Sus scrofa: one gene and its partner. The protein of the gene in region 2 interacts with the protein of the main gene of each other region in a pairwise test. Links are inferred from orthologs where the notes say so. Each region holds a gene or a part of one and is shown on either strand. Other genes may lie near its edges.

The links.
Region 1: the proteins of MYBPC1 (region 2) and FHL1 interact in a two-hybrid assay, tested with the Homo sapiens proteins (2 studies listed by BioGRID and IntAct). The link is inferred for Sus scrofa from reciprocal best matches to the Homo sapiens genes MYBPC1 and FHL1.

What each region holds. Positions count from the first base shown.
Region 1 is NC_010461.5:111,362,553-111,366,368, reverse strand, and holds part of FHL1 (four and a half LIM domains protein 1), read right to left. Parts: intron 3,078-3,816; coding exon 2,896-3,077; intron 2,684-2,895; coding exon 2,509-2,683; intron 1,890-2,508; coding exon 1,720-1,889; intron 1,282-1,719; coding exon 1,095-1,281; intron 520-1,094; coding exon of another isoform or gene 320-519; intron 1-319.
Region 2 is NC_010447.5:82,595,499-82,599,314, reverse strand, and holds part of MYBPC1 (myosin-binding protein C, slow-type), read left to right. Parts: intron 1-378; coding exon 379-484; intron 485-1,929; coding exon 1,930-2,096; intron 2,097-3,427; coding exon 3,428-3,590; intron 3,591-3,816. UniProt on the Homo sapiens protein: Thick filament-associated protein located in the crossbridge region of vertebrate striated muscle a bands. Slow skeletal protein that binds to both myosin and actin.

The DNA of each region.
Region 1 (3,816 bases), on a different chromosome or scaffold from region 2:
GCTGAGTGCACACAGGTGGGAGCCAGGCCGTCCACGGGGCCCACCAGCGCGCGGGCAGCGGCCGCCCGGCGCCCGGCCCCCCGCTCCACCGCGCGCGCGCGCCGCCGTCCCCCGCGCCGCCGGGACCTGAGAAGATGCCAAAGCTCCGCCGAGGGCTCCCGTGCTTTCCAGAACCCACATCCCCTGCCACCGCCATCGCCCTGTGACTGACGCGCACCGACCTCCCAGCACAACCAGTTTCTTTGATTTAGGTCAGGGCCATGGCATCAAAGTGGCCACCAGGAGGCAAACTTGGGCCGTTTGTGGGGTGTGCACTTACCGGGCCTCGAGGAGCTGCTAAGCTTCGATTTTTTCTATAAAGAACCACCACCCACGAGGGACAAGTCCTCTCTCCACCCGGATGCCTGCCCCGGAGGTTGGCGCTGGGAAACAGGGTGAGAGGCAAGCGTTTCCCGTGGCACACTGGGGCCTTCCTAGCTTTAGAGACTGGGTGGCTCACTCTTGACACAGTCCTTTTCCCTGAGGATGGCAAAAGTCTTCTCAAATGTACATTTCAAGGCTCCCCGGGAGATGGGAAAATTGGAGACGGGGGAGAGGGCCCAGGGCACGTGGACCGCGGCCGCGAGATGAGGAATGAAGTGATTCGCTTGGCTCCTGATCGCAAAAGACCTGCCCACTGGCACCTCTGAGCTACCTTCCCCTACGGGGTGTTTGCATCCCAGCTTCTGGCTCGCCGCCCCCCCTCCCCCGCTCCCCTCCCGCACCCCAGCCCAGCCCGCGCCTGGCCCCCCCCCGCCCCTCCCCCGCCCCCAGCATCCCCGCGCAGTGCCTGCCCGTGGCCGTGGGTCTCAGGCTCGTGATCTCCGGCAGCATCGTAAGTTAGTCGGCAGTAGTCAGAAGTGTTCTGTGTTGCAAAGGCTAACCTGGCCTGGGGGAGAATCCGCACTATTTGGGGGCCTTTGGGACCACAGTGGCAGGGGGAGGGGGCACTCTCTGGGGCCTTTGTGGATGAAACCGACGACGTAGGAAAATGAGAGATGGTTACCATGCGCAAGACCTAGCCTGGCAGACTTAGCAAGGACTCTTTAGCCTACCAGTGATGGGGTTCTTGCATCCAGCACACTTCTTGGCCACAAAGTTCTTGTAGCAATCCACGCAGTAATACTGGTCCTCCACAGCGGTGAAACGCTGCCCAGCCAGCTTCTTAGAGCAGGTAACACACACAAAGCACTCGGCATGCCAGGGCTGATCCTGGTAAGTGATTCCTCCAGATGTGATGGCCTAGACCAGGGAGTGTAGCACCGGATTCAGATTCAACAACCATTTTGTTGAATGCCTACTACGTGCCAGGCACTGTGCTGGGCGCTCGGGTCTACAGTATCTCATTGAATCGCCACAACGGCCATGGGAGGCAGGTGCCATTATTATCCCCAGGTTCCAGACGAGGACACCGGGGCTCGGGGAAGGCGAGCCCGTGTGCAAGGTTAACGCGGCAACCGGGTGGCGGAGGCCGGCCTCCAGAGCCAGTCAGGGTGCCTGCCTCGGCCTGGGCGCTGCTTTCGACCGCCCCGGTCTCCTCCTCTGTGACACGAGAATAATAATTCCTACGTCGCAGGGCTGTCGTGAGGATGGAATGGGATAGTGTGTGTGCAAGTGCTCTGCAAACTGTCAAATGCTTCTAGAAACAATGGCCAGCGCAGAACGCCCTTGACAACGTACCTTGTTGCACTTCACGCAGTGCTTGGCAAACTTGGTCTCATGGCAAGTCACGCAGTAGAAGTCCTCCCCTTTGGGGAAGAAGCTTCCTGTCCCAATGACTTGCTTGCAGTTGCTGCAGGTGAAGCAGTCTTTGTGCCAGACGGTGCCCTTGTACTCCACGTTCTGATCGCCTGCGGGGGGAAGCGAGGGGGTAGCCCCACTGACAGTGCCCTGCAGGGGGCTGCATCCGCTCAGCCTCCCTGGGCCCTCCAGAGGGGAGGGAACGCAGGCCCTGCAGTTGTTGGCCTCACACTTCCCCTGACCCTGCCCGTGGGCTCCCCTACCGCGCCCCCCGTGCGGTCATGCCGACCCAGACGCTGTCCGTGGGGGGGGGGGGGGGACCTGGCTGTACCTTGTGGGGCTCAGACGCCTGAATCCCCGCGCCGCGCGCCCCCACCCCCTGCATGGACTCAAGAGATTCCAGTGGGAAGGGGCTCCTTGACCAGGAACAGCACCCCAGGAAGAAGCATGCTTCGATCACTTACTAAACCCAAATGAGAAAGCGCTACATACTTGTCGCTTCCTTCTCTTGCCACAGCCCGTTCTCTCCAGGGTTCTTTACTTGCCGAGTGTGTGCGTGTGTGCGAGCATATATGTGTACACATATATACGGGTGTATATATGCATGCATATATATGCTAACCTCCGGCAGCGGCTCCCGCCAGCGTCATCCCCATCACAAGCACCCCTGCGCCACGCTGCCCTCAGGGCCTCCTCCCTGGCTGCCCCGGGGCTGAGTGTGGCCGGTACCTGCCACGATGGGCTTGAAGCACCCCTTGCACTTGGGGGAATCCTCGCGAGTGGTGCACTTGTTGCACAGGATCTTGTTGTCCTTGGCCATAAAGGTCTCATTGGCCAAGGGGTGAAGGCACTTGGAGCAGCGGAAGCAGGTGTCGTGCCAGTAGCGGTTCTTGTAGTGCACCTCCTGGGAACCGAGCACAGGGGGTGGCCGTCAGGATGACACAGTCCCTGACACCCTGGATGCGGGGGAGGCTGGAAGACTCCACTCCTGAGACAATCGCAAGGGCTGGCGTCTGGCCGTGTTCCCCATCAGCCAGCCAGGGATGGAAGTGTGGCTGCTCCTCCGCGCGCCGGCCCTGCCCTGCCCCCCCCCAACCCTGGCCCCACGGGCGCTACCTTGGAGTCAGCGCCGATGGGTTTGCGGCACTCCACGCAGGTGTTGGCGCAGAACTTGTCGAAGCACTTCAGGCAGCAGTGGTGGCCGTCCTTCTGCACGTACTTCTTTCCCTGCAGCGGGTCCCTGCAGTAGTGGCAGTCAAACTTCTCGGCCATGGTGCCTACCTTGTAGCTGGAGGGGCCTGCGGGGGGCAAGGAGGCAGAACAAATGAGACGCGAAGGCCAAGGGGTTCGGGGACTGCGGCCAGGGCGCTGAGGCCAGAGGCAGTTCACTGGTGACTCCGGCGATGAAACAGACAGTCCCTGGGCTCCCGGGAGAGGGTCCCACTGGGCCATCCCCCTGCACTGCCTCTGAGAGGACACTGAGGGGGCCAGGCGGCTCTGAGCCGAGCTGGGCGGGCGGCCGCTGGGGCAGCGTCTGCAGCTCCTAGGAGGAGAGGCTGGCGGGGGAGGGAGAAGGCCCCCACGCTCCCAGCCACGGAATTCAGCGCATCTGAACCCAAACTTTCTGCCAACACCAGACCATGCTAGGGACATGAGCAGTGCGTAAGCATTTATTTCAAATCTGGCAGAGCACTTTGTAATCCCTGAAATGATCCTACAGAATGACTTCCAAGACAGTTTACTGACTCTGGAGGCCTGAGCAATCAGTTCTGCACCCGTGAGCTATCTGTCACAGTGGCGTTTGGCTTCGTGACGCGCCAAAAATCAAATCCCCCTTCATCCAAGCAAGTGAGGATCAATAGAGTCCATGAAGTGTCAGGATTCAGGACCCTGCAGTTTGCAAAACTGCCATCTTCAAGCAGCATCTAGGTGGGGGCGGGGATGACTTTGTAAAAAGTGTCAGGCGGATTTTGTCAAGAACCCCTCCCGCACTGCCTGCAGCTGAACAACTCCCCCCGGCCCCAACCCGAGGGCCTG
Region 2 (3,816 bases):
TCATCTGTCCAGCTAGAACCACAATCAAAGAATTTTTGTGTGATAGGTTCTCCTTCACCAGAAATGTCTACCATCTGGTATTTTATCTGCCAAAGGAATGATAATTGGTACATTTTTTTCTGCTCTCTAAAACCATAAGTTATTAGATTTGAAGAGTTCTTAGAAAGTGGAAAAAAACTTACCAGCTATTTATTTTGCCATGAGATGTCATTAAAAACAAAAAAACCTGCTACATACCACCATCTAACCGCAGCACTATGATAAATGATATTTTCTTATTGTTGGGTTTTCATCTATGAAAAAACCTAAGGTCAGGAGACAGGTTTTTGGACATTTAATAATTCTGATTCCCCCCCTCCTTTTTTTTTTCCATGCTAGAGCCTCCAGTTATGGTGACCAAACAGCTGGAAGATACAAAAGCTTACTGTGGAGAGAGAGTGGAATTAGAATGTGAGGTGTCTGAAGATGATGCCAACGTAAAATGGTAAATAGCTTTCCTGAGGTCTGTCCATTTTTAATAGACGAAAGAAAGGGCCCTTCATAGCTTGGAGAATAGGAAATTGCTTTTGCACATATGAAAAGAAACTCACCTTCACTCGTGTTACTAGCAATTATAACTAAAGCTTTATCAAGATACTGTGAAAATGAAAACTGAGAAATGTCCAGAAATCTGTCTTGGTAGGGATATAGGGAAGCAGGCACTTACGAGTAAAGGGATGGCTCAGGGTTCCCCAGGTCTATTTAACTCCAAAGTCCATGGGTGCTCTATACCATGCTTACTCTTACTATACCATACTGACAAGTTACATGGAAAAATTGTTTTCATTTTATTACTAGTCACTTTATTGTTACCGTATCTCAAGAAAATATTTTAGACTGAGAATTACCAATTACTTAAAAAAATTTTTTTAATAAAAAGCATTTTTTAATCTGATGGGAAGTGTTTTCTCAAGTTCTCTGCAAATAACTTCAAAATTAAAGACTAGAAGACTCCAAGCATTCCTGTTGTGGCTCAGCGGAAGTGAATCCAACTAGGATCCATGAGGAAGCTGGCTCAATCCCTGGCCTCGCTCACTGGGTTAAGGATCTGGCGTTGCTGTGAGCTTTGGTGTAGGTCACAGTCGCAGCTTGGATCCAGCGTTGCTGTGGCTGTGGTATAGTCCGGCAGCTGCAGGTCCAATTCAACCCCTAGTCTGGGAACTTCCATATGCCATGGGTGCAGCCCTAAAAAGTGGGGGGGGGGGGGTAAAGACTAGAAGACCCAGAATCTTAAAAATGAAATACTTTTTTGAGAAATATAGTAAATTATGCCACAGGAATCTCTAGTAATTGGTACAGAATAGATTGTTCATTCTAATCTAGAATCTTGGCTATCTTTCCAATGTATTAAAATGTTATTCTTACTTGTGTGTGTCAAGAGCCCAGACGTGGATAATACCCACTCTTAGTATCTTTATCTGATTGATCTTGAACGGAAAGAGGGGGCTTATTTTTTTTTATTTTTTGTCTTTTTGCCATTTCTTGGGCTGCTCTCACGGCATATGGAGGTTCCCAGGCTAGGGGTCTAATCAGAGCTGTAGCCACCAGCCTATACCAGAGCCACAGCAATGCGGGATCTGAGCCGGGAGTCTTCTACCTACACCACAGCTCATGGCAACGCCGGATCCTTAATCCACTGAGCAAGGTTAGGGATTGAACCTGCAACCTCATGGTTCCTAGTCAGATTCATTAACCACTGCGCCATGACGGGAACTCCCAGGAGGGGGCTTACATTTTTAATGTAATTTTTCAGGAAATGCTTGCCCAGTATTAGGCCACTGATAGATTGATTCATAAGTGCTTTAATTCAGCAAAGAGTCTTTGAATGTTTGGTATCTGTATCCTGAAGAGTCTTTTATAAAACTTTTTCCATAATATATTTTAACTCAGGTTTAAGAATGGTGAGGAAATTATCCCTGGTCCAAAATCAAGATACCGAATTAAAGTTGATGGCAAGAAACACATCTTGATCATAGAAGGAGCAACAAAGGCTGATACTGCAGAATATTCTGTAATGACAACAGGAGGACAGTCATCTGCTAAACTTAGTGTTGACTGTAAGTAAGACTTCCTTGGATGTCTTCCAGGTGGTTTTCCTAGTGGTGTTGCATTTGTTCATTCAACTCAATCTATCCGATTTCTACTTGTGACAGTTTTAAACATGTGACGTTAGATTCCATTCTAGTTGAGTGTCTGTGTCATATCCATCAGGGTCTCTGAGAAAAGAACCTACTACTCAATTTAATAGTAGAATACCAGGAGTTCCTGCTGTGGCCCAAGTGGGTTAAGAATCCAACTGTAGTGGTTTGGTTTGCTGCAGAGGTGAGGGTTCAGTCCCTAGCACAGCACAGTGGGCTAAGAATACAACATTGCCACAGCTACACTGGGTTCAATCCCTGGTCCAAGAAGTTCCATATGCTGTGGGAGCAGCCATTAAAAAAAATGTAGAATATCAGTATTGGGAAGGAAGTATAAAAATCACCTGCCACAGAGTTATCCAAATGGTTAAGAGATATTTTAATCCTCAAACCATATAAATGGTTGATAAATACTTAGATATGATATCAAATCCTGATATCCTGTTTCCTTAATCCATAGATGAACTTACTATCTATTCATTAAACATTCAGCATTCTACAATTTGGAGTGAGGAGTTACTCAAAATAATGGTCTTCAGCTGAGAAGACTGTAAGGGCGAGTTTGCGGATATTCTTCAGCAGCGTGAGGGAAGGCATGTTCTTCCCCAAGGCCCCCTGGTGATAGTCAGTTCTTAGCGGCAGAGTCTGTCACCTCCAGTTAGCCATGAAAGTTAGAATAGCAAATTTCACAAGAAGATTAATAAGAAATGCAGAGCAGAAATACCACTTCTTTACTTCTTTCTTAGTCTGGGTGTGATTCATATGATCATCGAATTATTTGGAAATAATCTCGGTATACTCCTTATGTTTTGGGGAATGGTAGTCATTTGAGTATAATATCAAAAAAGTTTTTTTCAAGCATAGGCAGATCCTTCTCTGATATTTTTATCCATTTAAAACAATTACAGTCGGGAGTTCCCATTATGGCTCAGCAGAAATGAATCTTACTAGCACCCTTGAGGATGCAGGTTTGATTCTTGGCCTTACTCATTGGGTTAAAGATCCAGCATTGCTGTGAGCTGTGGTGTAGGTTGCAGACCCAGCTCGGATCTGGCATTGCTGTGGCTGAGGCATAGGCTGGCAGCTGTAGCTCTGATTCAACCCCTAGCCTGGGAACCTCCATATGCCACAGGTATGACCCTAAAAAAAAAATTATTATAGCAAAACTGATTGTACCATTGTGAAATGAAACCATCTTGACCTGTCTGGAGTTGGAATTTGTCACTTATAACCATCTATTATTTCTGTAGTAAAACCTCTGAAGATATTGACACCTCTGACTGATCAGACTGTAAACCTTGGAAAAGAAATCTGCTTGAAATGTGAAATCTCTGAAAACATATCAGGAAAATGGACTAAAAATAGTCTACCTGTTCAGGAGACTGACCGTCTAAAGATTATTCACAAAGGAAGGTAAGCAAGCTAGGGTGATCCCTAAGTGAGGACTGGTGCCCATCTTCACTTCTTCCTAGTTCCTAAGTTACACAATTGGTGAGGATGTTTGGAGAGTAGTCATGGGGAGAGGATCTATTTCTCACTCTTTTCTCCAAATAGCAAGAGTATGTGATTTGCCTGTTGTACATCATGTCCTACCCGCAATGCTACACCCATACCTTACAGTAAGCTGCTATGTTATTTC